Linked DNA regions of Mus musculus. Each later gene encodes a partner of the first gene's protein in a complex. Links are inferred from orthologs where the notes say so. Each region holds a gene or a part of one and is shown on either strand. Other genes may lie near its edges. The genes, in order: Cyfip1 and Abi1.

The links.
Region 2: Cyfip1 (region 1) and Abi1 share a complex: the UniProt entries of both Homo sapiens proteins name them as parts of the WAVE2 complex. The link is inferred for Mus musculus from reciprocal best matches to the Homo sapiens genes CYFIP1 and ABI1.

What each region holds. Positions count from the first base shown.
Region 1 is NC_000073.6:55,836,179-55,853,000, forward strand, and holds the start of Cyfip1 (cytoplasmic FMR1-interacting protein 1), read left to right. Parts: upstream 1-5,892; 5' UTR 5,893-6,129; intron 6,130-16,822. UniProt on the Homo sapiens protein: Component of the CYFIP1-EIF4E-FMR1 complex which binds to the mRNA cap and mediates translational repression. In the CYFIP1-EIF4E-FMR1 complex this subunit is an adapter between EIF4E and FMR1.
Region 2 is NC_000068.7:22,940,315-22,956,460, reverse strand, and holds part of Abi1 (abl interactor 1), read left to right. Parts: intron 1-2,849; coding exon 2,850-3,026; intron 3,027-6,190; coding exon 6,191-6,277; intron 6,278-9,699; coding exon 9,700-9,885; intron 9,886-14,413; coding exon 14,414-14,589; 3' UTR 14,590-16,146. UniProt on the Homo sapiens protein: May act in negative regulation of cell growth and transformation by interacting with nonreceptor tyrosine kinases ABL1 and/or ABL2. May play a role in regulation of EGF-induced Erk pathway activation. Involved in cytoskeletal reorganization and EGFR signaling.

The DNA.
Region 1 (16,822 bases):
TGTAGATAGCCCCACTAGCTGCTGAAATATTAAGTTTACATGTACCTATAAAAGCTACCAAAACACCAGAAGTAGGAAAGTATTCAATCTAAGGGACTAAAAAAATAGGATTTTTAAAACTAAATGTGGAAGACTGTTTTATTCCTAGGGTTGAAAATAAGAGAAATGTCTACCTGATTTTTCTATTCGGTATTATACCAGAAATGGTACATGATACACAACAAAAAAATTCAGATTGGAAAATAAGTGAATTATTCATAAATTGTATGGTTTTATATATGAAATAGAATATGCCTTCCCAGTGAAAAGTCAGTCCACCACTTAGAGATTAATAAAGGAAAAAACTCTAATAGTGCATGTCAGGTCCTGGCTAATGCACAACAGGGAAGCAGAAATCCATCTGCATGAGTTTCACATAGACAGGGATTCTAAAGTTGGGTTGTTTAAACAAATAGTGATATTTAAAATGTAAGATATTACCATAGCTTTTAACCAAGTTCATCCTGTCTGCCTGGCAGAATTAAACTCTTTCTGATATGAGGACCAGAGAGCTTCTTTAAATTCTATCTTGTATAACAATATTAGTAATATTAGTAATTTTATTATTACTAAATATTGGTGATATTAGTTTATTATTTCCAGTTTTGCCTATATTATAGCAATAATTACAAATCAAAACTTTTTAAGTATCAATAAGCAAGTGTTGTGTGACAAATTTGAAGAAGAGGAACACAACACACATGGGTCTAATCGCCCCAGAAAGCAAAACTACACTATTGGTGCAGCATGATTGCACTATAAAGTCCAACCAACTCCGTTTCTGAGAGTGCACAAAAAACCACTTGAGCAAACATCCTATGGCAACACCACCCCCCTTAGCATAAGCCAGTCAGACTACAACAGCAGGGTCAAATACATATAGACAACCTAAGACATCCTGCAGAAAATAGATAACCTACCCACCCTGTTCCTCGGATGGTTTTGCGCCCATGTTTGGTTCCTGCAGATTACACCAGAAATGCAATTTTTAAAATACTAACTTGCTGACTGTATGGAAATTTCCAAAGCATACTGTAACTACAATAAACACCCTGTACCCCTAGAACTCAGGACTCTCACTTCTGACCCACTGTGACAGTGATGGTGAGAGTCCTTGTGCAAGAGCCGATAATAAAGGCTCTTACGTGTTTGCTTCGGAATTGGCTCACCAGTGGTCTTTGGGGTCCCTGCACCATGGGCATTACAACACCAGAAATGAAATCTGAAAGATAATTTGTTTAAACTCCACAGGGGCAAATTATACTCCAAATCTGTTATATAGATTTCAACTTTAATTGCAAGCCATACCTCTCTCGATTTCTGTGTTACTTTCTGTTGCTGTGATAAAATGCTATGACCAAAGCAACTTAGAGGAAAACGCATCATTTGGTATACAGAGGATTTCCTCATCCCTTGGGGCAACCAAACCCTGGGGGCTAGTATTTAGCAGCACAATATATAGCAACAGCCCACCCTCCACGCACCAATATTTTTTTCCTTTGGTGGGATGGATCTTGAATTTCTTCCTTTTCCGTGATGTTTCATGTACCCAACTGCAATTGTGGTTTGAAATACAAGACAGGCTTGTAGTTGTAGAGGGGATACTGTCCATCACTGTGGTAGCATGCTAGCAAGAGCCATGAGGCTGTCCAGACAGTCAGGGAGCAGAGGAAAAACATGAAGTGAGATCAGGTATAACCACAGAGCCCACCCCCAGGGACACATTTCTTCTAGCAAGGCTACACCTCGTAATGATTCTGTGGAGTCTACAGTGTAGACTCTTGTGCGTGTGCTTTTGAAGCAGTATCATCTAGAGGCTCCACTGTGCAAACACACAAGCCTGCATAGGCTCCCTATCTGGGATGAGTAGATGTAGGTTGCATCTTCTCAGGAAGAGTCCATCACGTAATATTTGGCTATTCTTCCCCAGATTTCTATAGGCATTCGTCTCAGACTGTAAAGATTTTGAAGAAATAAACTGCCATTGCTGGTTTTTGTATACACGGGCCCAACTTTAATTACTCAGGACTTCCTCTGCTCCTTACACCTAAGTAGCCTCTTGTCTATTAATTTGATTTGAATTATTAATACCATCCTGTAGACTCCTTACATAGCTTGTGTAAGAATTGCTGAAGCCGAGGTGAAGATGGTAAGCAGTGTGACTGCCTTTGTTTGCTTTCTCTGATCAATGCCATGATCACAGGCAACCAGGGGAGGAAAGGGTTTATTTGGCTTTCATGTCATAGCCCATCGAGAGAAGTGAAGGCAGGAATCTGGTGTCAGGAACTGAACCAGAGACTGGATAACTCCACTTACTGACTTGCTCCTCATGGCTTGTTTAGCTTGCTGTTTCACTGCACCCAGGACCACCTGTCTAGAGGGGAGCCATCATAATGGTTGGGCCTCCCCCATCAATCACTAATCAAAAGAATAACCCCATGGACTTGCCTACAGGCAATCTGATAGAGGTGCTTTCTCAATAACGTTCCCTCTTTCCAGATTACCCTCGCTTGTGTCAAGTTGACCAAAGAATAAATATAACCAGGACAAAGACCTCTAAACCAAATGTGTAGTCTGGAATTACAGACAATGGGTTGCTTCAGGGTATATTAAGAGGAGATACAGTTGATACCTGACGTTACAGATGGCTGACACATCCAGAGCTACCTTCTTTACACTGCTGGTTTGGACAAAGCAGGTTCATTTGGTTTCTATAGTACAACACTTTATGCCCAGTTCTGCAGGATTGCAGGTAATTATTTGAGACATTCTGATTACTTGTGGGTCATTACAGGGTTCATGTCCATTTACTAGATCACTGGTTATAATGGGACAGAAACTGCTACATTGACCTTGGTCTCATGGAGAATTTAACCAAAGGTGGATCAGAAATACTGCTGATTGACTGTGAGTTCCTACTCCTCCCTTAGTGGATGTGGCAATGACCCTTTGGGTCCCTCCATTTCAGTATGGGCTCTGGATGCACCTATATTGCCTGAAAATTGAAGATGTGAACATTCCATTCACTAATTTAATCAAGTTATTAATTGATATTTACACTACATATCAACACGTGGAATACCTTACGTTCAATCCATATTTTCTTGTACAATGTATATATATGTATATAGGTATATGCAAATGTATACATATACATACACACATATATAAATATATATTTGCTTATATATTTGTATATAATACATATATATTTGCTTTAATTTGTTTTATATATACAATATATATATGCTTTAATTTGTTTGGTTTTTTCCGAGACAGGGATTCTCTGTGTAACTGACATGGCTGTCCTAGAACTCATTCTGTAGGCCAGGCTGGCCTCGAACTCAAGAGATCTGCCTGCCTCTGCCTAGCAAGTGCTGGGATTAAAGGCGTGTGCCATCACTGCCTAGCTATAAATATATTTGTATTCTTCACTAAGACAGGAGAAAGGGAGGGAGATAGTGTTGCACTTGCCATAAATCATGGGAACAGCTGTGACAATCTCTAGTCAGTTTACATAATTTCAAACCCATTTCCAGTTACAAGCAAAGAGTTCTTTAAAATATACTTGTGCATTTCACCTGTGGGTGTGTGGGACTTCACCTTTAGTATGTTCTCATATCTGCTGGCATTGAAACACACTGGTGGGTTTTCTACTAATTATATTTTGAAGAATTATTTTCCCCACAAAAGAGCTTTTATTTTCTCTCAGCACAAAAAAAATTTAAATCTCGTGTGTATTCAATAATAAATAGGTCAATTTTAACCTTCATTTCCACTTGAAAAATTCCATTTCATTTAAAAGTTCTTAATTTTTTAAAAAAAGATTTGTTTATTTTTACTTATTTATTTACACTGTAACTGTCTTCAGACACTCATCAGAAGAGTGCATCGGATCCCACTACAGCCACCACCTGGTTGCTGGGAATTGAACTCAGGACCTCTGGAAGAGCAACCGCTGAGCCATCTCTCCAGCCCTCACAAATGGTTTTTATTTTTATTTTTTTTAGTATAAAAAAAGTTGCATTGATGAAATATTGTAAAAACAAATCAATCTGTTTTTCCTCCCAGCCCCTGCTCCCAGAATGATCACTGTGAGACTAACAACTTTTTAATAAATGCCTAGGCCACGAGCATTGGCTCAGTCCCTGACTAGATTGTAACTTATCTAACCCTTTAAACTATTCTATGTCTCACACACTGTTAGTTACCTCTCCTCCAGTCCCAGCCTGCTTCTTCCTTTGTGTCTCCTCAGCTTCTCTCCCTCAGAGACTTGCTTGAATCCTTCACAGTCCCTCCCTATGGGTTCCTTTTATATTCTCACTATTTCCCAGAATCTCCTCTCTTCTTGCCAGTGTCCCATCTCCTATTTGCTGCCTCAGCTCATTGGGCATAGGCATTTTTAGTGACAGGTGACACTGAGATTCTCTCTACAGCATATAATGATATAATTCAAATTGCTTGTCGGATAGTTAAATGCCAGTATTGAATCTTAATCTCTAGATTACAGTTCTGTGGAAGCAGGGGAACATTGTCAAGCATGCGTTTTGTATTTTTGCTGCGCCAAGGAATCAACATGTTACATTTGTATTATCATTATAGTTTAGGTTTTGTAATTTTTATTATACTCTTGTTATGCATATGTAGAGAAGCTACAAGGATTATACTTTTGAATAAGTTTAACATCTCACATTTTGTGGTAAACCTAAGATGGTGAAAACACTGATGTGTGTCTGTTGTAAATACAATTACACGAGTTTTATTTTTCTGATATTAAAAGTTACTTAGTAAAGATTTATTTCTGTTAAGTTGGGGAAAACAAACTGGTGTGGGAGTTAGGCATGTTGGTGAATGCCTGTGATTTCAGCACTTGAGGGATGGAGACATGATCTGGTGTTCAAGGCTAGCCTGGGTTACATTAGTTACTGTCAGACCCCAACGACAAACAAAATGTCCAAATTCTTAGCAGTAAGGAGGGGCGTCCGGAGTGAAGAAGGGTAGGAAGTTTGGAGCTATTCTACTAAGTTCAGCATTAAGATGTATGTTAACTAACTTTTCCCTTCCTTTTCTGCGGGTTTAGGGAGGGCAAATTCAAGTCAGGTTTTCTGTTGTCAGCCATTCCTAGGAGTCTGAACTTGAGTTTGCCAGTCCTCAGAAGGCAGATGAGATGGTAGCACTGTTACTTTAGGGGCCAGAATGGGTTCTTCCTTGGGTCTGGAGCATTTTACATGCCGCTCCAGCCTTGCACCCACCATTTAATACATACATGCGCCCCTTCTCTGTCATGGTTGTACCTTCTGTATCTCTTTTGAAGTTCAACCAGAGGCAGGACAGGAGGCAGTGAAAATTTGGGGGACATGCGGAGGAAGATAAGCCCATCACTCATGGATTTACTGAGGCTTCTCACCATCACTGAGGACAAGTTATAGGAAAACGAATGTTGAATTCCTATGGCCCATGTATGGGCTCACTGGCCCACACCCAATTGCTGGGGGATCCAACGCCCTTTTTGGACCTTTGCGGGCACCAGGCACTCTCGTGGTGCATAGACACACAAGCAAGCCAAACATTCATACACATAATGAATTCCTTTTTTTTAAATTTTTTTTAAAGTATCTTTAGTAAAACTTCCAGCTCTATGCTGGCTAGTCCTGGAATTCTTTCCTCATTTGGCCTTAGCTTCAACAGAGGTCCCCCAAATCAGGGAAAACTCTTGAGGCTGGTGAGCATGGCAGTGTGGCGCTGAGTCTTCATCCTCTCCCAGCCGGCTTGACGGGTGGAGCCCACCAAGCAAATCCCGGCTTCCTTTGCTGCGGTGACCTGAGCAGCAAGCGGCAGGCGGGGCTACGGTACGGGAGACTTGGGGAGACTTGGGGGCCGACCGGGCTGGCCTAGAGGAGCCGGACCCAAGGCAGCCAGCGGGAGGAGGGAGGAGCGCCGGGAGGAAGAGGCCGAGCCGAGCAGCGCCGCCCCGGAGGAAGGGGAGGAGGCCGGGTGTTTCCTGGTGCATTCCCGACCCGCCCAAGTGACTCATTGGGGTAGGAAAGCTCCCGGGGCCCGCCCTGGACAACCGAAGGCGGCGCAGACCAGGTAAGGGCGGTCGCCTGGCCTCGGGGTCCTTGCTCCACTGTAGTCCGGTGGGGCGAGCCTGCAGACGGCCTCGGCGCAGCCTCCGGGACCGCACGGCCTCCCGGGATTGCCTCCTGGGCTCTCGAGTCTCCCGGTCTCTGCACGGCAGCTCCGGAGCCCGGGACTCCCGGCCCAGCTCGGCGGCTCCAGGGCTCCCTCCCCGGAATCACATTCCAGAATCCCCCGGCCACGGGCTTCCCAGTGCAGATTCCCTGTTCCCTCCGCGCTGCACAACTTGCACTCCGGTGGCCCGGCTCCCGCGTCCCGGACCCCCGCGTCCCCGAACCCCCGCCCCGACTCACCCTGGATACTAGGATCCCAGATCTCGCGCTTCCGGCACGAGGTTTAGCTCCAAAGAGGAAGAGACAACGTTAATATTTAGTATTTTACTATTGAAAAGTAAGGAGCGACGAATAGTTTATGTTGCACTAAAGTGGCAAAACAACCCCGAGTCCACCATGGTTCTGCCTTCAGAGGAAAGGAAGGAGAGTGTGGTCTAGGGAAGCCGTCCTCAGATTCTTGGAGAGAGGCATTTTGGGCTTTGTTAAGGAAACGGGATTGTTCAGGAGCAGTAGTGCGCCGCCGCACATTCGTAACGAATTTTGTACTTTAAGCCTAAAGCATCTGCGTAATTTGTAACATTTCGTGAGTGTGAGAAAAGAAGGAAGAGATATGCAACTGGGGATCGGTGAGGGCGAGGCAGAGGGAAGCATCGGGCAATCCGTGTGTTGCATGGGGGAGCCCAGAGATTTCTCTTGGTTGTCGGCTAACAGATCGCTTAGTTGAGTCGTGTTTGAAGCACCGCTGGTACTGGGGTACTCCTACAGGTACTGATACTGAGATCAGCGCTTGCCAAGGTGGGGGTATTGATCCTAGACCCTGGCCAAGTTCACTGGCTGGAAGTTGAAGCACGCGAGACCGGTGGTATACCTGAATACCAGCCTTCCCCTAGTTCTGAGTATGTTAGTGGTTCTTATTAAAAAGCCTACAAGCACATAGCCTGAAAGAATTAATTCAGTTTTTAAATACATGTAAGTTACTGCAGACATGCATTGTAAGAATTCAGTAGGAATGTTGCGGGGAATACTTCTCTTTCCCTCTTCCCCTAACAGCATCTTCCCTGTAACCTTGATAAAATGCTGCAGTTGAAAAGTCTCTCTAAGAAAATACATCCTCTAAGTATTTGTGTATTTGAGGAAGTATGTATTAAGGTTTTTTTAAAGAATAAACACTGTATGTGTGTGTTTGTGGTATGTGTGTTTTTAGATGTGGGTGCACAGGTGTGTGAATGTGTTTGTATGTGCATGTAGAGGCCCGAGGCTGATTTGGCGTTTTCCACCTTATTCTTTGATACAAGGTCTCTCAGCTGAACTTAGAGTTCACTGATTGGACTAGTCTTGCTCGCCAGTTTGTTTCGGAGGTCCCCTGTCTCCGCCTTGGAAGCAATGGGACTTGAGGGAGGTTGCCATGCCCATTGTCGTTTATGTGGGTTCTGAGATCTGAAATCCTGTACGGCTATCCACTGAGCCATCTCCCTGGCACTTAAGCGTGTTTTTAACTTTACATATAGTAATATTCATGCTTTGGAGTGTTGACTGCCACTGTAATTAAGATGCCAAACTGGTTCCTATCACCTCAAGATTTTCTTTCCTGTGTCCCTTGTAGTGAGGTCTTTCATACCATCAACTCTTGGCAACTGCTGATCTTTTCATAGTGCTATTTTGCTTTCTCCAGAAAGTCCTGTGGCAATCTTGGAGTCTGCATTTAAGATGGTTCTATGTTCTCAGTAATAAGTATGGGGGTGTTGGGGAGGGGGTGGCTATATTTAAGGCCGTCCAAGGTGTTTTACCAGCCAAACACCATTAAAGTGAAAAATTAATGATTTTATATATATATATATATATATATATATATATATATAATATTATTTGGTTACAAAAACACTAGTCAAATATGTCTGTAAGAAGTAAAGTCAGTGCTTTGAAAAGTAGAGCCTTGGGAAGGTGGGGTGGCATGCAGGGAGTATAGGTGCATACAGTGGGTATAGGTGGCACACAGTGAGCATAGGTGGCACACAGCAGGTATAGGTGACACACAGTAGGTATAGGTGACAGACAGGTCTGACAACTTGAGTTACAACCCACAGTGGAAGGAAAGGACTAACTCCTGAAAATTGTCCTCTGACGTCCACAAGGACACAGTGATTTGTGCCGAAATACTTACTCTCTCTCCCTATGAACACACTCCATACACAAATAATAAATAAGTGTTTTTTTTTAAAAAATGTAGTTCTGGATACAACCTGGAAGACTAAAACGTTCTTTCTTCTCTCTTTCCCTTTATCTTACCATTTCAAAAAAAAGCAAATTTAAATATGTATTTGACAAGTGTGTGGTTGTTGTGGCCTGCATGAGTTTGTGTGCATCACATTCATCAGAAGTCTGTAGAGACTAGAAGACGCCATTGGATCTCTTGGACCAGGAGATATAGGCTATTGTGAGCTTCCATGTGGGTGCTGGGAACTCAGCATAGGTTCTCCTGAAAAGCTCCTAATTGAAGAGCCATCTTTACCCCTCCTGAGTTTTGAGACAGGGTTTCATTCCATGGCCCAGACAGCCTTGAATTCATGGTGCCTCTACATTAGCCTTTTTGTGTGTAGGGAGGGGAAGGGGCTTGAGGTTGGGTCTCCCGAAGTCCTGGTGGGCTTGAACCCCTGATTCTCCTGCCTCCACCTTCTGAGTGCTAAGACTGGAGGTGTGGATACCACCACCTTTCCTGTCTATCTCAGCTCCTTGAGTGCTGACATTACAGAAATAAGATACAACCTAGCCTGAAATAGTACTTTTAAAGGTGAGAAAATTTACAAACACCACCTCAACAATTTTTTAAATAGTTCAGAAGTATATACAACTGTATGTGTACTGAAGCATTCTGCCCCGACTTTAGCCTCTTTTGTTTGAATCGGAGTTTCTGTAACACCGATTGCATTCCAAGTGTTATATATTTTCACTTATTGATGCTCAGCTGGAATTCCTTAAATGTTTCTATTTACAGAGAGTTCAATAATTCTTGTTTTGTTTTTTTTGTTGTTGTTGTTTTGTTTTTTGGTTTTTCGAGACAGGGTTTCTCTGTGTAGCCCTGGCTGGCCTTGAACTCAGAAATCTGCCTGCCTCTGCCTCCCGAATGCTGGGATCAAAGGCGTGCGCCACCACACCCGGCTGAGTTCAATAATTCTTTCTATTGATTGTATAATACAGTCATGTGTTGCTCAAACTATAGTGATATATGCTAAAGTATATCTGCACAATTCTATCCCTGCATCAGAGTTTAATTAGACAAATGAAAATAGGTACAGATGTTAATTACATCATACAGTTCTAGGAGTGCTGTGATAACTGACCAAAACATTGATAGGCAGTGTACAACTGTCGTCTTTAGTGTGGGTGTGTTATAATGTATTTGATCGGTCTTCTGGGTATTTTTCTGACACGAGTGTCCGTGCACCACATGTGCACCTGGTGCCAGAAGATGACATTAAATGCCCTGGACTGGAGTTGTAGATGATAATGAGCTGCCATGAGGGTGTTTGGAATTGAACCAGGGTCCTCTGCAGCAAGTGTTCTTAACCACCGAGCCATCTCTTCAGCGCCTGATATTGTGCTTTAACATTTATCAACACTCCAGTTGATCTTGTGTCAGTATCCTTGAGTACATGCTCAAGGACATCACTCTGAAGGTGACTCACCGTTGTATTGGTGTGAAGAGACGCTTGGGCAAAGGCAACTCTTATAAAGGAAAACATTGAATTGAGGGCTTGCTTACAAGTGTCAGAGATTTTAGTTCATTCTCATGGCAGGAGTATTGTGGTAGGCATGGCACTGGAGCAGTAGCTGAGAGCTACATCCTGATCCAGAGAGATGGAGAGGGGGAGGGAGAGAGAGGAGAGAGGCCTGGCATAGGCTTTTGAAATCTCAAAAGCCCCTGTGACACATTTCCTCCAGCAATGTGGCACTTCCTAATCCTTCAAATACAGCACTTCTCAGCCTGTACATTGAGGTTCCTTTGGGGACTGAACGAGCCTTTCACAAAGGTTGCCTAAGACCATTGGAAATATTTCCATTGTGATTCTTTTTTTTTTTTGGTTTTTTGAGACAGGGTTTCTCTGTATAGCCCTGGCTATCCTGGAACTCACTCTGTAGACCAGGCTGGCCTCGAACTCAGAAATCCGCCTGCCTCTGCCTCCAAGTGCTGGGACTAAAGGCTTGCGACACCACGCCCAGTTCTCCATTGTGATTCTTAACAGTAGCAAAAATTACAGCTGGGGGTCAGCCCAGCATGAGGAACTTTATTAAAGGGTGGCAGCATTAGGAAGGTTGAGAACCACTGTTCTAATCCTTCTCAAGTACTGCCACTGTCAGACGAGGGAGCTCAAATAGATGAGCCTCTGGGGACCATTCCAGTTCAAACCACCAGGGAAGGGAAATTGTGCTCACGTTCTTAAGACATCCCATGTTTCGTGCATCTTTGTAAGCCAGTGCTCCCTTTCTGGCAAAGGTGCAGATTGTGAATAGTCTCCGTTCTGTGGGCCTTGTTTATGTGCTGTAGCATTAGAGCCTCGTGGAAAATGAGTGGGTGTGGCTGTCTGCCAGGGAAATTCTTTATGTAAAAAGACAACGTCCTGTAGTTTGCTGACTTCTCAGTTCACGTATTATTTGCCCAGTCCTTGAAATAGATGCAGCTGTTATTTACCACACTTGGTGGGTGGGTGAAGCATGGACAGATGAAATAGTCCAAGATTAGATGGAAAGCCAGGTGTTGAGTTCAATCATTAGGTCCTTAAATTTGCCAGTTTAAAAAAATTAGAAGAAAAGGTACAAAATACTGTCCTCTAAATGTTGGACCCTCAGTCATCTGTTGAATCAGTATTACAGCAGGGTACCTTCCTGGCTTTAGCTAACCTCTCAGTCCCCATCACCCTCAGTGTCTGTCTCAAACAAGGTTTTTGATCTGTTTCACTTAGTAGCAACTGCTAGGGATAAATTAGGGTTCCATTCTTCTAGAATATATACAGGTTATAAAAAAAGAGTTATTAGATTGGTTTACGATTTAGGAGCCAGATAGTTCAGTAATAATTGTTTGCATGCTATTTTCTTTTATAATGTTTTACATCGTGCAACTTTGTTGAGAATTCTTTTAATAACTGCTTTACACAAGCAAGGATTTTTCTCCTTGTCACCTGTAGCTGCATGTGTTGACTGGGTTGTAAGGTACCTGTATGCTTGAAACTGTTATGTCACAGTGCTGGATTGTGATTGACTTTCATAGTGCCTTCTCATTCCTACCCTGCCAAGGCCCTGGCTAGTCTGGTATCATTATGCAGTCCAGGATGGTCTCAGACACACAGTCATCTTCTTGCCTTCTGAATGATGGGGTGCCCAGCAAGTGCCACAATGTCTGGCTATGTTTCTTTTAGTAATAATTTTTTTTATTTTCAAGTTCCTTTTTCTGTATCAGGCTAGTCATTGCCATTATTTTTGGGTTTTGCTTTTCATTTTGTATCTTTGCATTCTTCTGACAGGGTCTTACTATGTAATCTTGGCTGGCCTGGCACTTACTATGTAGACCAGTCTGGCTTTGAACTCATGGAGATCCACTTGCTTCTTTTCTTCTGCCTCCTGAGTCCGAGATTAAAGGCTTTTTGCACCATGCTTGTTTGGTGTATCTTTTTCCATTCTTTTGTTTCACTTCCTTAGTGTCTTTAAAATGTGTTTCTCATGGCTCCTTTGAATTTTTTAAAACCATTTTGAATATCTCTGCCTTTCAATTTGAATACCTTGTCTATTTACATGTAATGAAAATTAGGTATTATTATGATTTTTTTAAGCTATTTTACTATTTGTTCTGTTTATCTGGAGAACTGATGGCTACCAGTAGCCTTTGTAACACAGGTTACAAAGTATCTAATGGAAGGCTTCCAGAATACTTTAAACACAACATTTGTATCTGTAATATTTTTAAAAGATTTTCATTAACAGCTTCTGAGCAGATGGTCCCAAAGAAACCATGTTGTCCTTCAGCTTCTGGGAAGGTGGCAGGGAGCAGGGGGTGGGTGAGCCCTGCAGAAACTAATAGTTCTTCCTCGTTGCTCCCCAGCCAATGTTAATATGCTTGCTTCTTCAAGCCTGGCAGTGACGGCAGAAATGGTGGACATTGAACTTCGGCTCCCAAAGGTTTTAGTTATGAATGAAACAGATGGACAATGATAGCTATAATGACCCTGAATCCACAATGCCTGTGGTTTGTATTCACACCACATCCATTCTCCTGGCCAAACTTGTCAAGTTCTTTACTTTGTATTCCCCAAGCTCATGCAGGGATTTTGTTCCACAGAGAAGAAAAACTGATAGTCAGAAAGCAGTGGTTTCCACTCCTGAATGTGGTTGCTTGTAACCTTGTCCTGGCTAACACAGCTGGCAAGAATATCGGATTTCTTCTTCAAGCCACTCAATGAAAGAAGACTTTTGTTTGAAGAATTGTCAGTGGGAACACAAGTTAAGGCACAGGTCCACACTGAATCCCCTTAATATTTGGGGACTCTTGACTCAGGTAAAACCAGTTCTTTGCCAAAATATCGAGACTGGCCAGCATGAAGCAGATGTTGTAATTTATTAAAAGATTTATTATTATTATTATTATTATTATTATTATTATTATTATTAAGTACACTGTAGCTGTCTTCAGACCCACCTAAAGAGGATACCAGATCTCATTATGGATGGTTGTGAGCCACCATGTGGTTGCTGGGATTTGAACTCAGGACCTTTGGAAGAGCAGTCAAACCACTTAACCACTGAGCCATCTCTTCAGCCCAAAAGAAAATTTTTACATGGATGTTTAGTGCAAGAGTTAAGAGAGACATGCTTAGTTGCCTTTACAATAGCCACACGACATACAGAGAGTTAGGATATCTGTACTGTAAACAAAATTAATAGTCTTTTTTTTTTTTTTTTTTTTTTTTTTTGGTGTGATTCCCAGGCAATATCCAGGACAGGAGTGAGGCTTTACTGTGCTGGTTGGTTTGTCAACTTGACTAACCTGGAGGGAGCCACCTGAGAAATGGAGTTACAGTGAGAGAGTGTCTGGATCAAGCAGCAGGCAGGTCTATAGAGGATGACATCAACTGCCAATTGATGCTGGAAGACCTAGCCTATTATGAGTGGCACCATTCCCTATGCAGGAAAGACGTAGACAGAGAAATCTGACGGAGAGCAAGTGAGCAAGGGTCCATGCGTTTATTCTGTCTCTGTGCTTGACTGTCCATGTGAAGCTTTCCGTTCTTCACTTGATCCCCCTGAAGCAATGGACTGTAAGCTGGAATTGTAAGCCAGATAAGCATTTTCTTCCCTGAGTTGTTTTTTGCCATTGTGTTTGTCCTAGCAAGATGAATGGATTTAGAACCTCTGTTGAAGGTCATACACATTAAGCCCGGTTAGCTGCTATTCTAACATAAAGGAAGCCTTGTCTCTATTTCCATAACCTTCACAGCAAATGTGCATTGGGCTGGAATTCTTGAATTTCAGCTGGTGACTCTGGAGTGAGGGTCTCTGTTCTTATGCACCCGTATGTAATTCAACCTGCCTTTCTGTCCTGCCTCAGAATCACATACCCGGAGCCTTGGCGCTGCAGCAGCACTAAGCTGCACCCCAGCCTAGAGCTCTTCTATTCTAAAGCATGTTCTTTTGTTTACCACCCACAAACCATGCAGCAGCCTCTACAGAAGCAGGGAGCCGAAAGCCACTTCTCCTCTTGGCTCCCCGGGGTCAGCTGCCTTCAGAGATCTTTGACTGTGCTTGAATCTCAGAGGCTGTCGGAATTCAGCTTTGTTTCCGTCCCACGCACCAGACTCAGAAGGATTTTGTACAGACCCATTTGCCTGTTATTGTTTGCTCTGATTGCAGGAGTCGGGGCCGGGGGTGGTAATCAGCGTTATAACTAGAGTTCTCCAGAAAAACAGAATAAATGGGGTATACACGTGGGCCGGGGGAGGCAGACAGAAACACTGAGATCCACTTTAGGGAGTTGCTTCACACAGCTGTGGAGACTGGCAGGGCCAGATTCTGCAAAGCAGTCTAAGCTGGAACTGCACAGAATACTTAAATGCTGCGTGCAACCTGAAACCAAAGACCACACAGAAGCAAAATGCCCTCTTTCTTGAGGGCTGTCAGCATTCTTTTTTTCTTAAGACCTTTAGCTCATTGGATGAGATCCATCTAAGTTGGGGTAGTCTGCTTTGCTTAAAGTTGACTGACTTTAATATTTATCTCATTTAAAGATTATCATCATAGCTATGTCTAGACTAGAATTTGACTTTGACCATAAACTTCCTAGATAGTTGTCACAGGGGTGAGTCTTGGTATTTTAATAACATGTTTTAGAGAACTGCCGTCTCCAACAGAGATCAGGTCAGTGTTCCTTTTGTGGGGATACACTTAAGTTGCTTGTCTTCTGGAATCTAGCTGAGAAGAAACTGTACCTCTTATACATACAAGCTATGAGAAGCTGTGAACCCCCACTTCCCTGCCCCACTTTTTTTGCTGTACACATCTTCCCTAGTCATCCCCTCTTCCTCTTCTGTAGCTCATGTGTCCTGTCGTTGCTCTCAGCAACCCGGTCACTTCTTTTCTACTGTCTCCTGGGCCCATTTCTAGTTCTCTCGGTTCTCCTCACACTTATTCTTCCCCCCACACAAACACTCCCCCCATTCTAGCACCCCCAAGACACGGTTTCTCTATGCAGCCTTGGCATTCCTGGAACTTGCTTTGTAAACTAGGCTGGCCTCAAACTCAATGATGTACCTGCCTCTTCCTCCCAAGTGCTGGCGTTAAAGATGTGCTTGTGCCACCATAGCCTGGGCACACGTATAGCCTTTAGAAGCTAGGATATCCGTACGTGAGAGATCATGTGGTATTTGTGTTTCTGAGCCTGGGTTACCTAACTTAATCTAAGGATTTTCAGTTGTTCATAGTAACCGTGGTTGTCTGCCCAAAGCCTGCCCAAGGGTAAGCCAGCCAATCAGCCTATACTCGTACCTGAGGAGTTGTGGATGGTTAGTGGATTCTGGGGGAAAGTCATTTGCTGTAAGGTATGTTGATCACGTTCCAGTGGATGACCCCACCCCCAAGAGCATGTGGGGAGCTGAGGCTCAAGACTGTGTGTTATTTAAAAAACAAACAAACAAAACAAGAAAGCTAGAGGCAGGGCAAGGAGGTGAGGGTGAAACCTAGTGGGTGGGTTGGAAGTGAATGTAATAAAAACCCCTTATATGAAATTCTCAAGGAACAAGAAAGGAATTTGCAGCTCCACTTTGCTGCAGATTTTGCAATTTTATTTTTTAATGGCTGAATAAGATTCCAATGTGTATATGTGGCCTGTTTTTGTTATCTTTTACTCTGAGAATGGGTGATATCTGGGCTAATTCTTTTCCCTGGGTGTTTTGAAAAGAGGTGCAGTAAGGATGGATGTGCAAGTGTCTCTTGTAGTAAACAGAATAGGGTAGTGCCTCTAACGGTTGGGTATTGCCATCAGCTGTAAACACGGGTTGTTTCACTACATCCTCAATGGCACTTGTCCTTTTTCAGGTTTCATGAGTTTTTAATTATGGGATGTACACCTGACTATAGGTGCCTAGAGAGGCCAGAAGAAGGTATTGGATCCCCTGGAGCTGCAACTGGTGGTGGTTGTCAGTTGCCCGACATGGGTGTTTGAGAATCGAACTTGGCTCTTTTGAAGGAGCAGTGTGTGTGTTTATCCACTGAGTCATCTCTGGAACTCCTCATCTTTTTTAACTTGATGGTAATCTTTCTGACTGGGGTGAGATGGAATTTCAAAGTAGCTTTAATAAGCATTTTTTTTGATGGCTGAAGATACTTAATTGTTTTAAAAGTATTTATCAATCATTTATACTTCCTTGGAGAACTGTCATTGTTTTATTTGTCCATTTAACAGGTAGAAGTTTTGTGTGTGTTTTAATTTTTACAGTTGTGCTCGTTAGTTTCTGTTACCTTGACTATCAGGCTTGAACATATCGGCGGAGAGGGAGTCTCTGTTGAGGAATTGTCTCTGTGGTATTGGCCTGTGGGCTTGTCTATGGGACGTTTTCTTGAGCATTGACTAATGAGGAGGGCCCTGTCCACTGAGGGGCCATCCATGGGCATTCAAAAAACCAGGCTGAGTAAGTCACAGGGAACAAATCAGTAAGTGGAATTCCCCCACAGTCTCTGCATTAGTTCCTGTCTCCAAATTCCTGACTTTGCTAGTGATTGACTGGTACCTGGAACTTAGATAAACCCTTTCCTCCTAGGTTTATTTAGTCATGGTGTCTATCACAGCATTAGAAAGCATACTAGGACAACACATATATTCTAGAATATATAAATACACACACACACACACACACATCTCATCATCAATTTATTGAACTTAGATCCAAATTTTACTTTTAAATTAATTCTCTGGAATTACTCATTGCCTTAACACTGTCTGACATGAGAGGGTTTTTTGGCTTCTGAGAGTGACATCAATAGTTTGCTGAGTTGTAGACTATTAGAAACCACTTCCTCCCCAGACCCAGGCTGGCACTCTTTGGTAAATTTAG
Region 2 (16,146 bases), on another chromosome or scaffold:
TATCCAGAAACAAAATGTGTATATTAAAAAAAATGTTTGAAAGGTAATCATAATAAAAAAATGAGAGGAAACTATCTTACCTTTTCAAAGTATTGTTCAAGAAAAATGATCCTGTTATAAACACAGGCTCATTTTGTGGGTACTGCATTTATAAACTCATTTGAACTTGTTTTATATACGGATGTTTGTTTTTTTTTCTTTGTCTTCAATATGCGGTATTTTCCTGCCATTTTGGAATTTTTGGTTCTGTTTTCTTACACTCCGATCTGAGTGATAAACTATTTTGCTAGAAAACATTGTGTCTGGCTTCCTGGAGTCATACTTCTCCCAGTGAGTGTTGCTGATGAGACTGTGTAGGCGTTGGGGAACCATTAGATAAATTTTACATATCTGCACTTAACTCTTGTAGCTGATAGATTACAAGTTGCTGCAGTTACTGGATTATAGATGGTACCACTAAAAGTTAAAGAATTAAATCTAATTATTTCTAATTTCTTCTGGTGAAGGACCTTTGAACTTAACACTATAAGAACACGGAGAAGACTCTTTATTAAATACAATGTGGTCCTATGTATGATTTACAACAAACTTAATGGGATTTTTATTTGTGATTTATTTAGATTGACAAAAACTGGCAGTTATTACATCCAGTCAAAGGACTGGGCTGAAGGTGGAGATAGGAAGTGGAACATGGAAAGGAAATAGAGTGTGACTGGGCTGCTGTGGTGCTATCTTTTGGATTATTCTTTGAAAATTTTTGCAGCAGCCCAGGTTTCAGATAGCTGAGAATGCTCTGAAGTAACTTTATCAATTGGATGCATTCAAATTGTCTTTAAGTTGGGAAGGACTAGACTGAATGCTAATACAAAGAATTCTAGATCCAGGCTGGGCAGTGTGTGGCATATACAGGAGGCAGAGGCAGGCAGTCTCTGTGAGTTCAAGACCAGTCTGGTTGATGTTACACAGAGAAATCCTGTCTCAACTCCCTCCCACACCCAAATTTACATTCAGTTTAGAAGTACACAGAACTTAAGATAAATAATGAGGTGTCTCTTATGAGAATTAATTTAGATGAAATTAAACTGAAAATATTTTTAGATTATTTTTTTTAATATTTATTTATTATATGTAAGTACACTGTAGCTATCTTCAGACACTCCAGAAGAAGGAGACAGATCTTGTTACAGATGGTTGTGAGCCACCATGTGGTTGCTGGGATTTGAACTCCAGACCTTCAGAAGAGCAGTCGGGTGCTCTTACCTGCTGAGCCATCTCACCAGCCCTAGATTATTTTTCAAAACATTTATGTATACTGAGGAAAAGGAGAGGGAAGGAGATAATACAAAATCCCATGGATATAGAAATCACTGAAAGAAAGTCTGTGAGCCTGGAAGATGATTGTTGAAGCCACAGTGGATAAGTAAAAATGCAGACAGACAGCTCACCTTGTTGGGGTGTGTGGAACTGGTGCTATACTGCTGGTGTTTGTTGATATGCTTGCTCCCTTTACCAAAACCCCTTTTGCTTACTAATCAAGGTAAACAGCATCTTTCAGTGTCAGTCTTAGGTACTAACATCAGAACATTATTTCTCAGAAAACTCTCTGTTAAGTTTGTGAGGTCAAAGCTATTACATGTCTTTTTCATCCTCATTCTGTCAGAATTTTTTTTTCTAGAGGCTCCGTGAAGTCTTTGTGTACTTGTATATAAATTCACCTTAAAGCTGTGTCAGTTTGAATATGGTCATTTCATGTAGGTGTAACCCACTCCAGGGACACCTAATTTTTAGTTTTTAAGAGTCGACTTAAAGAAAAAAATGTTTGCTAACTGCTTACTTAGAGCACTAACTTTCAGAGCAATAGTCCCAAATTGGTTATTAACGTAGAGGAATTAGGTAGAAATTTCAGTTTCAGAACTCATCCTAGATCTACTTTGTTAAAAATCTCCGAAAATGGAACCCATAAATTTCCATTACAACAAGCTCTCAAGGGGAGATTTTCATCAGTGCTGAAGCGTAGGGAAATTCAGGGACTATACTTAGCAGTGTTCATTCAGAAGGAGTGATAGTTCTTAGTGTTAGAATAGTACCTAAATACAACCTAAATAATTAATAACAGTAATTACTAACAGTTATAAAAATCAGAAAAATATACTTAGCAGTTTAAATTTTATTGTTTACTTTATTACTTATCCTGAGCTTTTTAGCCAGATAGAATTTTAAATCAAATTCCGAAACTTGGCTGTGAAGAGGAAGCTGTTTATAAAGCAGTCATGAATGACCCACAGCTAACAGCTAGTGCCTTACTCAGACTGTGTGTGGTACTCATTTTGTTGGAGCCAGTGTACATACAAAAGCTTTATACACTTGTCCTTCATCCCCTCAGGTGATTGATTCTTGTACACCCCACCTCCAATAGATACAAAATCCTTAGATAACTCAAGTTCCTTAATCAAATGGTGTAGTACTTGCAGACAACTTACACATATATTCCTTTTCATATATTTCAGATTATCCCTGGGTTACTTACCATACCAGAGTAGTTGTTCTCGCGCATTGTCTAGTGAACATTCTGAAATGCACATGTAAATTACATATAGCATTAGCAAAATAGCATTCAGGACTATGCTTATTGCAAAGGATTAGCAATGCTCAAATGGTCACTTTTGTAGCTCTTTGCACTAGCTGTCTTCTTGTTTATATACTTTAGAAGTGGAGATAATTTGATTTTCATCTTCTTTTTTTATTTTATGTCTGGGCATTCCAAAAAAAATAAGAACCCCCTCCCCTCTGTCCTGTCACTTGGGGTGTTTGTAATGCTTTCTTGGTTGCCTTTGACTAATGCTTTTCAGCAGCCCCTGGCGCAGCTCCTGGTTCCCAGTATGGCACAATGACCAGGCAGATTTCTCGACACAACTCTACCACTTCTTCGACATCTTCTGGTGGATATAGACGAACTCCTTCTGTGGCCGCCCAATTCTCTGCTCAGCCTCATGTTAATGGAGGTCCACTTTATTCTCAAAATTCAAGTAAGCTTGTGTTTGCAGGCATACAGCAATAGTGGAGCTCCTTTTTAAAGGAAATTATTTGAAACTGTTATTCTTGACTGTGATAGACAACAATTTAAGCCATGCTATTTCATGCTTGTTTTTGCTTTGAATGTTAATCCTTGAATAACCATCTTAAATATTACTGCTTATTTATTCTCCAGGGTTCACTCAAGTATACTTAATCTACCAAATTCAACAAATATTTTAATGTGCTATTATTAGTATTACTACAGTATAATTTGAACTAGAGAACAAAACAATCTTAAATTTTATCAGCATGATTTTGATGGTTCAGTAATGGTACGAAGACACAAACACAGCCAAAGAACTTTTTAAAGAATTTAATGAAAAGAAATTGCTGGCTATCACTTCTAAGGTTGTGACCTCTTTTGAAATGCTTTCAAATGAAAACATTTACAATGCCTGCTTACTTTCTCTTTCTGAATAATTCTAACAGGTGGGAGGGATTTTCTTTTGATTTCCCTTTGTTTACTTCAAAATACACATCTCAGTACTAATTACAGCCAGTGTTTAAAACCTTTTACAGAAAATAGAGTTAGAAAGGAAAGGCTTGAATATCTGAGGATAATCATTGAGTTCACTTTCCATGTTAAGATACTAAATTCAGAACAAAAATAGTTTGAAATAAGCCTGTTGTCCAGTATTTGTTTTTGTCGTGAAGTTACTGGGTGTGGCTGACAGGTTTTTCTATGGCAGCTTCATTTTAAGTATTTCTAGAACTGAATGTTCTATAAAAATAATGGTGACTACTCTGCATTACATGGGATTTGCTTGGCTCTTTTATTTGTATTCATATTACGTGCATATTTTTGGTTTTTGCTTGTTTGTTTGTTTTTTTTAAAAGACAAGGCCATACTTTGTAGCCTTGAAATAGCTTTGAAAGTTAGTGCTCTAAGTAACTGGCCTGGCACTGCTTAAGTCATACTGGCCTTGAACTTGCAGCCCTCCTTCTTTTTGGGATGATAGGCAAGCACCACTATGCCTAACTTAAGTAGAGGCTAATGGTCTTTTGTTTAAAATTTTGAGTTAGAGGGTAACTGAGTTATAGCAAATTGAAAACCATTTTGTCTTAAATGTCTATATTTACAGAGAACCTCAGATTTTATACAGCTTTTTTTCCAGACCTGAATTTCCAGAATTCAGGCTACTATGAAATAATAAACTCTTGCCTGCTATTTTACTTCACATCCCCCTTTGTTGATATTGAGTGATAGCCTCAGTGTCTGAATGCTCTGTAACTCAGTCGTTTAGGTGGTGGTGGTTGTTCTGTTTTGTGGAGATAGGTCGTTCTGGAACGCAGTATGGCGTTCAGGCTGGCTTTGAATGTAGAGATCTACCTACTTCTGCCTCCTGAATCCTAGAATTAATGGCATATACAATCAAGACAAATTAGTTGTTTATTCCACTAGTGTCTGAACTTTCTTTTCATATTCTGCTTTTTCCATCCCATCTTTATGATCATTATCTTCCCTCCCCCACTTTGTCTTTAAATTTATTCTGCAAATAGGGTTTTTAATTTCACCAATCTACACTTGTCTAGTTTCACACATGTTTGTGGGATACTTCCTTAGTAAATATCAGTATTCTTTTTGAAACTGGAAAGGAAACTTAGCCTGGGGTGTAAAGCATGTTTTGTTTTATCCATTTCCCCTTCAGTCTGAGCTGCTGGTGCAGGTTACTGGTACGTGGCTGTGTTTAGTGCTGTGATGTGCCGCTTCCTCTCCTTATATGTGCTGGTGATGAGCATCTTCATAGTAACCTCCTGTCTCTTCTCCCACAGCTAACGAGCATGGCTAGTCACTAAGGGCTCTTTCTTGAAACTATTTTGACTAATGGGAGGCTTTTTTGTTTTAAAATCAATACTCTAACCATTTAACAAGTGTTCTCTGTAACAGAATGAAAACCAGTTTCTGCTAGTAAATGGAATGCTGTTTTTAGATCTGTATGAACTATCAGCACATATATATTTCTCTAACTTTTAACTTGGAACGTCTATCACATTTTTATGCTTACCAACACATTTGTACCTTGGATTAAAATGATAAATATTAGGGACCAATAAAGTTGTTTTTCTTGGATAATGTAACATCACTTAGTGGTGACCACTGGGAAACCGATCTTTCCACTTGAACCCATTGACTTGTTGGATCTTCAGCAATTACTGTCTTGTTAAAGAGACAAAGTAAACATATCTTTGCTTCTAGTTTGTGGCAATCTTTCATATATTTGTTAGTCATAGGAACATTTGATACCAATTTCTTATAAAGTATCTCCTGAAAAAGGTTACACATGCTTCAAGCCAGCCAGTATCTGGCTGCATTATATTAATCAGAAATGAATATAGTACAAATAATTATACATTTTGACTGATTAGAGAGATTAAGTTTCCTTTTTCAGTATCCATAAAAAGACCATATTTGATAACTTCCCCTCAGAGACTGAATGATTAACTATTAGGTACATGGAACACTCTTGTCCCTTAGTAAGTTCAGGGCTGATTTCTTACAAATAAAGCTGGCAATTTAAAAAGTAACAAATCTTACTTTTGTAAGAAAATATTATCCAGAGAAGTATGTAAATTTAGATATATAAGCACTTTCTTCAAAGGTAACTCATGATTAATGCATTGATTTATCTACATATTTATACATGTAATCAACAGCTGTTAAACATTATTTGGTTTTAAAAACCAAATAATGTTTAACAGCTAGACAGGTCTGTTAGTTTATAGACTTAAAGCAAAACAGTTTGTTGGCAGGCTCTGTAGATGTTTAAGTGTAACATATTTTAGAAGTTTTTCTTTGAAAAGCATTGTGCTAAAATAAATGTTACAGTAAATTAAAAAGTTCCCCAAATAATGTAATGCTAGGTTAAAAGTAAGTATATTTATTATTTTATGCACTTATCCTATGGCTGAGCACAGTGTGGCCTTAGGTTCTGTGGGGACAAAAACTTGAAGAGGGTAGCAGGGTTTGTTTGTTTGTTTTTGTTTTGTTTGTTTTCATTTGCAGACTGTTCTTGGCATACTTATTTATGTTTGTGGTCCTTGTAACTGACTTCTGCTTTTTGTTTGTTTCCTTTTCTTTATCTGTTTTACTCCCCATACTGTGTCTTGCTGCCAGTTTCTGTTGCCCCTCCTCCTCCCCCCATGCCTCAGTTGACTCCACAGATCCCTCTCACAGGCTTCGTGGCCAGGGTGCAGGAAAACAGTAAGTCTGGGAACACAGCCGTCAGAGATTAGAGGCTGTCTCCTCTAGCATGCATGGCTGCTGAGTCACCATTTTCCTTCTTACTGAGAAGCTAATCTTACCTTGAAGAGTAGGTACAGTTATGTGTTACTGAAACGGAAGAGCACGGGCTTCTGTTCTTTTCTCTTGTCTGCATGATTACTGACCCATATCAATTTCAAAGCTGCAGTTTGCTTAAGTATTTAGATGATCTAAGCTATGAGATCTATTGTATATTTTTAAGCAAAGAGTAAGCCCAAGAAGGCAAATTATGTTGAAATAATAGTTACTAGGACAATTAGAAAACACTTTGCAGCTGGGTATGGTGGTGCATGCCTGTAATCCTAATTACCTTTGACATTACGGAAGATTCTATGTGTCCTGAGTGAATACTGTATGGCAAACGAAAAGTACAATTGCTGAATAATTAAATGTCAGTCATTGAAATTAAGATAGTATTTAGTTCCATTTTACTTCATTTGGAATCTTCTTAGAAATACATTTCAGAATTGTTTTAGAAATGAGCTACTACTTAAGCAGCCCATCCTCAGTACAGTAAATTTTTTGCAAATTCTTTGTCAACGTTTACTGACTCTTATAATGCTTCTCTCAGTCCCTCCCTTCCACCAATCAAATATTGTTATGCAGTGTTATATGATAGGTTCTGGTAAGAATACAAACAAAAAGTTTAAGACAGTCTCTTCATGAGAGCTTATTGCAAATGTGGATTTAGAGTTTTGAAATTTCTGAGTGCAAACCCTCTTACTATTAACTTCAGTTTCTTAAGTTTTGATGTTCTAAGCAATACCCAAGGCCTTGTACATGTTAGTTGAGCTGCTCTAAGTCTGAGTTAAATGAATGACATTCTCAGTTCCTGGGTTTTGGAGCAGATCTCCTGTTTCACTAAGCTGGCCTTTCAGCCCTTCTGCCTCAGCCTCCTGATAGCTGGGATGGCAGGTGGGTTTATCATGCCCAGAGATATTGTCGTTTCGTGATGCTGATACGGTTTAGAAACTAAACCTGTCAGAGGTGGAAGATTATACCAGTCAATATTTTTACACTGCTTCATCATGAAGAGTTCTAGGAAATAAGTTTAATAGCCATTGAAAAATCAACTTTGTGGGCCTAGAGATCATTGGCTAACTGATAACTGGAAACAAAACCCAGTGTTCTTATTCATTATTCCCAAAGAGACACCTTGACACAACTATTTCTGTTCTTTTTACCAAACACATGAAACACATGATATTGAGCTCTTTTTTTTTTTTTTTTTTTTGGCTTTTTGGCTTTTTGGAGACAGGGTTTCTCTGTATAGCCCTGACTGTCCTGGAACTCACTCTGTAGACCAGGCTGGCCTCGAACTCAGAAATCTGCCTGCCTCTGCCTCCCGAGTGCTGGGATTAAAGGCGTGCGCCACCACGCCCGGCTCAAATTCATTATTCTTACACCACTGCTATTCCAAGTTTATTTTCAAGTTTTTCTAAGCAAGTTGAAATTAAGAAATTGTGTATCAGCACTTTAAATATTTTATCAAGTGTACATATTTTATGTGCTTTTTAAATGCCAGTGTTCTGATACTCAGAGGAAGTGACAATAAATGCATGTAGCTGTAACCCAGTCTGGTTTAAGATATGAGCCCCTAATGACTCATGCCTTTTATTATTTAACATCAGATAGGCTTTTGGACTAAATATGCATAGTGTTAGGTAAAGTACTAGGGCAGAAAATTGGGTTGATCAGATTTTTGCCATAAAATTGAAGATAAACCAATGTATACTTAATGGCAGTTGAATGGAATCTTCAACCAGTATGTTGTAGAAATGAAGAGTGACAGCTCTTCAGGGAATCAAACAAACATGTACTATACACATTAAGCCAATTTAGGGTGTGTGCTCGGCCTGTTCATAGCCACTCTTCCACATAAACAAGCTTTATGGAGGAGGTGTAGGTATAGGCAGATGTTTCGTGGATCAGTGCATGTAGTAGACAATCTAACTGTAGACCTGTTAGATTGTTGTGAGTGAGCATCACCAAGTAGAATTTATTTTTTATTGTCTTTATCATCTCAAGGATTAAACTAGAAAGCACAGAATTGAAGCAGAAATGAAGCAGGACTGTTTTCTGCTTGCTTTAAACTAGCCTCTTGCTTAGATCTCAACTTACTGTCCTCAGTCAGGAACAATAACCTATAAAACCTACAACAGTTAATACAAGAACCTTTCCTTTTTTCTTCCTCTCACCTAAAAGACAAGGTTCTCTTTGTGTAGCTGTGGATGGCCTAGAATTAGCTGTGTAGACCAGACTTGCCTTGAACTCAGAGATTCCCTGAGCTTCTGCCTCCCAAGTGCTGGAAATAAAGGCATGCACTACCTTCCCTGATTTTTCTCCTCTCCCCTAAACTTTTAAAGGAATTTGTGGAGTAGAAGTTTGAGCATTAGTTGTGTTAGCTTTGAATGTTTTAATCCCAGCCGCATTGGTGGCCAAATAAGTACAGTTCTAGTCCCACACACCCATTTTCCTGTTAACACCTTCAGTTCTTTAATGCATGTGTACACATACCCCAGCCATCTAGAATCTGAAGTGTGTTTCATTTTTGTTTGTTTATTTTTATTTCTTTTAAAATTACTGCATCTTCAGTATTTTATGTTTAAATCTTAATTGTGTTTTAAGTTAGAAATTGGATCTTTTGGATCTGGTATCATTTCATGCATTGTTTTATTAGCCATAATGCAAAATCTTAGTTTCCTTTCTTCATTAAATTTTGACTGTGAATATAACTAATTTGTTTAAAGATACTCCATGCAGTCTTCTCATTTGGAATTATTTTTTATGTTTGTTAAAACGTAAGTAAAAACAGAAAACAAACAAACAAAACCCTACACAAAACATTTAAACATGATATGACCAACTTGGCTTTACTCTTTATTAAAACAACAAATAAAAGATAGGTCCACTTGTGATGTAGTTTCTAGGGCACTAAAGCTACCAAAAGCCAAAATTGCAGGCCTGACTATATACATCGTAAAAACTGTCAGACCTCTACTATAAGAAACTTAGGGGTATTCCATGACAGAGTCCCCTCGGGCAACAAGGCCGAGCAAGGGGAGCATTTGTTTTCACTTGAGACTTAGGATAAAGAAACTTCTTTACTCCTGTAATTCTAATGAAAGAAGATACTGTATCCTCTTACATTCATTAATGTAGTATTTATATGCTTATTTTATCTCATTTTATTGTTGCAAAAATTGTGCTTAAAATTAAAAGTAGTATAAACTTTAACACACCCAGCTTTTACTTCTAATCACTGCATGTTTTATATAGTGCATGCTATATGAGTTAGAATTGTTAAATTCTGTTAATTTAAAATTGTTCCTTTAGACTCATTACTTTCTGAATCCTTTTAGTTGCTGATAGCCCAACTCCACCACCACCCCCTCCACCAGATGACATTCCCATGTTTGATGACTCTCCGCCTCCTCCGCCACCTCCTCCTGTGGACTATGAAGATGAGGAAGCTGCAGTAGTTCAGTATAGTGACCCATATGCAGATGGGGACCCTGCATGGGCTCCCAAGAACTATATTGAGAAAGGTGAGGTACTATTTTCATGGGTTGATGTAAAGTACAGTAACCTAATTAGAGTTTTATTACTGTTTTAAAAAATGTCTCAGCCAGTGTTTCTTACCTGTAACTGTCTTACCAGTCAAGGTGGTAGCTCTTACTATGTATACTTTGTGTTTTTCAGGAGTATGAAAAGGAGACTATTTCTTTATACTTTGAATTTAAATTGTTAGATGCATCTTTTCAAACCATGTATGCTTCTAGCTTCAGATTAACTTGCTTGCCTGTGTTTTATAGATCAAACATTTAAGGCACAAAATTGAGCTAAATGACTTAACAGTTATTTATGATCTTAGTGATGATTTTAAACGTTCCCTCTGTCCCCACATCTTACCTTGCCCCTCCCCTCTCCTTTCCCTCTCCCTCTTGTCTCCTTTTTTTTTTCTCAAGACTGGGTATAGTTTAGATTTAGATTTTGCTTGCTATATTGACTCAACAGGTTTGTAGCTCAAAGTTTATATGTGTGTGTGTGTGTGTGTGTAGATGTAGATGTAGATGTAGTGTGTTCAGTAAAACTTTATTTACACAAATTGGTAGTGGAGAGATGGAGAAATGGTTTAGAGTTAAGGGCATTTCTTACAGGTTCAGTTTCCAGCACCTACACAACACACACCCATCTATTACTATAGTTCTAGGAGAACTGATGAACTCTTGTGTTTGACTTCTGGCACCAGGCATGCCTGTGGTTCAGATATAGATATACAGACAAAATACTCATCACAGAAAATAAAATTTAAAATACATAAATATAAAGAAGGAATGGTGATGGGTTAGATATGCCATTGGGGTGTGTGTCTGTGTGTGTGTGTGTGTGTGTGTGTGTGTGTGTGTGTGTGTGTGTGTGTAAATCAAGTTAATTTAGCAGGATTTATCATATACCTGAAATCACAGCACCCAGGAGGCAGAGGCAGGAGGATTATTGCAAATTTTACATTAGCCTGGTGTGTGGAGTGATTTTTCTCAGCCTTCTGCCATGGGCAGACAAGATCTAGTAGGATTATTGTCATACTTAAGGGTGCTGTTGTTATGGTAAAACAACATGACTGAAATCAACCTGGGGAAGAAAGGTCTTACTTCATACAGCTTGTAATAGAAGTCAGGGCAGAAACCTACAAGCTGTAGAGGAATGTTGCTTCTCTTAGCTTGATCAGCCTGGTTTGTTGTTTGTTTTTCTTTTGAGTTGCATCCAAGACCTGGGAGTGGCACCATCCAGAATGGGCTGAGGCCTCTCACATCAATCAAGAAATGCATTACAGATTTACAGGCCAATCTTACTGAGACATTTTTTTCAATTCATATTCCTTCCTCCCAGATATGTTTCTAGATTGTGTCAAGTAAACCAGTATGCTTACATTTAGAAGTTTTAATAACCACTTTCATGATGACAAGATAATGAAACCTGTTTAACTTGGCTAATAAGTTTATGACATGACTATTTCAAAAGCCTTGTTCTTATTGATACTGTATCTTTAACCTAATATATGCCGATGTGATACTGGTCTCTGTATTAAACTAATAGACAAATCCCAGAAAGCCTTCACAGTAGATATAAAAGGGAGAGTTTGAATAATAGAATCAACATCAAGTTATTAATGGTAAATAGTGGTGAGAGAAATTACATGAGGGAGTGTGTACATTGACATGAGACCCTTACACTTACAAAGGAAACCTAGAAAGCAAACACAATGTGTTTTAGTACTTTTCTGAGCTGTTTGCATTAGAGGAACTAAGAACTTGAAGTAGTTTTTTATTCTGCTCAAAGATATGAATGCTTTAGGCTTTTGTTAGTCTACAAGACTGAATCTCATCACCCTGTGACTCTAGATACCAGAGTATTACCGAAGTTAAATTACCTATGGAGCTTTTCTTAATAATTGATCTTTTGCAATCACTTGATCCTTTTTGCTAGTTATCTTTTTTTAAAATTTTTTATTAGGTATTTTCCTCATTTACGTTTCCAATGCTATCCCAAAAGTCCCCCATACCCACCCCCCCACTCCCCTACCCACCCACTCCCACTTTTTGGACCTGGGGTTCCCCTGTACTGGGGCATATAAAGTTTGCAAGTCCAATGGGCCTCTCTTTCCAGTGATGGCCTACTAGGCCATCTTTTGATACATATTCAGCTAGAGTCAAGAGCTTCGGGGTACTGCTTAGTTCATAACGTTGTTCCACCTATAGGGTTGCAGATCCCTTTAGCTCCTTGGGTACTTTCTCTAGCTCCTCCATTGGGAGCCCTGTGATCCATCCAATAGCTGACTGTGAGCATCCACTTCTGTGTTTGCTAGGCCCCAGCATAGTCTCACAAGAGACAGCTATATCTGGGTCCTTTCAGCAAAATCTTGCTAGTGTATGCAATGGTGTCAGCGTTTGGAAGCTGACTTTGATAGTATTTAATTATATTTTTTCAGTATATTTTAAAGCTTCGATAAACTATGGAGATCATAATCACCATACTGTGATTTTTGTTGCAGAGCTAAAATGGAAGGAAATGGGCTTGTTGAATTCATATACTACAGTGTATTGGAATGAGAAAAGACTACCTGGTTAACTTAATAAATGGTGGTAATCAATCAGTACTTCAAATCTCTAGTTCACCAAGTTAGAGTTACTAATGAGGCAAGCCATCTTTCTTAGGGAAGAAAATAATTCTGGACCATCATAAATGTTTTAAAGATTTGTATTTTAAGAAAAATACTGTTAAGAATAAATGAAAAATAAAATCATTCATATATTAGTCACATATAGTAGAAAATTACATGTAACTTTAGAAATATAAAAAAATGGGTTTAGCGGGAATATTTACATTTACAAATCAATAGTTAAAGTAGTATGCATCTGTCTTAGTCACAAACATCATAACAAAGAAGCAAGTTGGGGAGGAACGGGTTTATTCAGCTTACACTTCCACATTGCTGTTGATCACCAAAGGAAGTCAGGACTGGAAGCAGGTCTGGAAGCAGGTAGGGATGCAGAGCCCATGGAGGGATGTTCTTTATTGGCTTGCTTCCCCTGGCTTGCTTTCTTTTTGTTGTTTTTTTTTTTTGTTTTGGTTTGTTTTTTTGGTTTTTTGTTTTTTGTTTTTTCCAGACAGGGGTTTCTCTGTGTAGCCCTGGCTGTCCTGGAACTCACTCAGTAGACCAGGCTGGCCTCGAACTCAGAAATCCACCTGCCTCTGCCTCCCAAGTCCTGGGATTAAAGGCGTGAACCACCACTCCCCTGCCCTGCTCAGCTTGCTTTCTTATAGGGCCCAGGGATGGCACCACCCACAATGGTCCCTCTCCCCTTGATGACTAATTGAGAAAATGCCCCACAACTGGATCTTGTGGAGGCATTTCCTCAACTGAAGCTCCTTTCTCTGTGATAACTCCAGCTGTGTCTAGTTGACACAACACCAGCCAGGACAGCATCTAAGTTGTTTTCCCTGCTTACAAAATGGAAAGATAGAGTATGTTAACCAGAAAGGAAGAAGATCTCCAACTTCGTCACACTTTCTGGGGCTTCCTTTACTTTTGCCAACTTTTAAAACAAAACTTTTAAAATGAGCAGAATTTTTTTTTTCTATTTTAAAATCTGAGTTTATCAATTAACATGGGATTTTGAATATATAGATTTATTACCCAGTAAATGTGTGATATGGTCAAATTAAGACAGCTTGAGTTGTTATTTAGTTTACTGAATGGCTTTGTTCATAATACATTAGTAACCTGGCAGTTTGCTTAGATACTCCACATATATTTGTCTGAATGAATAGAAATACTGACATAATGCCTGGTTCTGTGGGAGTGTAAGCCAGTAGTGCTCTGGTCTGAGACCACTCTGAGCTAAATAGTGAGATCAGAAAACCAAAAATAAATCTAAAACCACCTAAATTCAGAGATTTAAAAATTATTATTACTCCATTTGTTTAATGTGGAAGGACATATGCCACTGTGTGTGTGAAGATTAGAGACAGCTGTTAGCTGCCTCTTCTACCGTGTAGGACTCTAGGGCTCAAATTCAGACCTTCATGCTTGGCACTTGTTTTCAAGCTGAGTTATCTCACTCACCCTCAGGTGTTTCTTAAAGAGAATTTAGTAGGAACCCAGTGTCTTCTTTCGTGTGGCCATATTGTCAATGTGGTCAATATGTCGGGTAAGTGATTTAGGGACTTGATTGACCATTTACTTATACCGATAGAAAAATTAAGTCCATCTGGGCGGAGGCAGCAGCTGTACCTTTAATCCTAGCACTTGGGAGGCAGAGGCAGGTGGATCTCTGTGAGTTTGAGGCCAGCCTGGTCTCCAGGACAGCCAAGGCTTTTTACACAGAGAAACTCTGCCTAGAAAGACCAAAAATAAATAAGTGAATAAATAAATAGACCAAAAATAAAGAAGTGAATAAATAAATAAATTCCCACTAAAAATACTTAGTTTTTCTAAACTAATTAATTGGCATTACATTTTAAAAGTAAATGTTCAAGATAGTATTCTCATGTTATACTTTGTTTCCTCCACAGTTGTTGCAATATATGATTATACAAAAGACAAGGATGATGAGCTGTCCTTTAAAGAGGGTGCAATCATCTATGTTATAAAGAAGAATGATGATGGCTGGTTTGAAGGAGTTTGCAATCGAGTGACTGGACTCTTCCCTGGGAACTATGTTGAATCAATCATGCACTATACTGATTAGTTTTTCTTTTTTCTTTTCATGTAGGTTATTACTCCGTCATACTGTGGGATTATATGGTTAACAGAATTGTTTTAATGTTTAAAATGTGCCCATATTTTCAAGGACATGTTTTATTGGTATATTTGGATGTCTACCTGTAAGCATAAATTTTGGAGGCAGTTCAAACATTGCTGAGCAGCAGTTTATATGCCTATAATTGATTATGCATATGTACTCACACCTTGCTAAGTTTATGACCAGCCTAAAACTTCTGGGGATTGGGTATTATGTTTAACAAATCATGGTTCAGAATGCACCATTACATGTTTCAGTGCAGCATGGTCACTAACATTGTGTCAGACTAATAGGAAAAAACAGAAAACGTCAATGCTGGTGCTGGTCATACTTTTGGTTTCAATTCTCATTTTTAAAAAAATACTGTGTTTAAAGCATGCATAAATTTTTATGTATTGAAATATACTTAACAATTCAAGATGCTTCCAATTTGTGTAACGATTATCTGGAGTACTCATACTTGAGTCTCCTAAGCTCTCCATGTGAAATGAAAGACTATCTGTAATGTTGTAATTTGTATCTAAGTTTTTTAATGAGTGAAATTTGCATTATAAATTTTTCCATTCATAAATACATAAGTGAACCAAAGGATTTTGGCCTCTCCTTTACTGGTTTGCTTTAATTATGTATGCTAGTGCATATGCATGCACACCCTCCCACCCCTTTAAGAAAGATTTATTGCAGAATTATGGTTCTATTTTCTCAATGCATCAGTTTTGAAAATATTTTTAGCTTAATCTTAATGTGTCCAAACAGTCAATGTGACAGAATTTTGCAGATTTTGGAGCTAGACTGTGTCAGAGTAAGCACATGATATTCTGGGGGCAACATCTGAAGGAGGAGTGCCACACCGGTCCTTTGGATTTTAATGAAACTGAATTTACATTGACTCAGTGAAAGGAAAATCCTTTACATATTGTAAAGATGGATGCAGTTCATTTGTGGATAGGCATATTTAATCCATTCCCTGGCACTAGAAACATAAAATTTTACAATAATTTTGAAAGAAACTAGGCCATGTATTAATCTGTAAACAGGTAATAAGCAGGTTTGTATTGTAACTTTGATGCAACACATGCACTTTGTGTGTCTCCTTGATTCAAGGGAGGGTGTGAGGGATACTTCTCTTGTATATAAGACTGTACTGCTTAGGATATTAAAGTAGATCACACAAGTGTGGGTTTCTATGTACTGAGGGTTGCAGATTTATGACAGCATAGTGATGAGAGCAGTGCAAAATATTTCTGAAAATTAAAGACCATTGTTCCTACCAAATCAATGATTCCATATATATTTTAACCTTTGTTATTTTTGAAGTACTATGTCATTAGCAATCAGATAGCTTTTTATTATGCATTTCCTTTTTGAAGCAAAATGTTTTCTTCATTTGTAAATAACCTGTTGTCTAAATTTTATCTAGTCTTTTATAATAAACTATGCTCCTATATGAAAAATTTGGATATTGTTAAAGTATAACTAATGTGGATTTAAATAGTACAGACT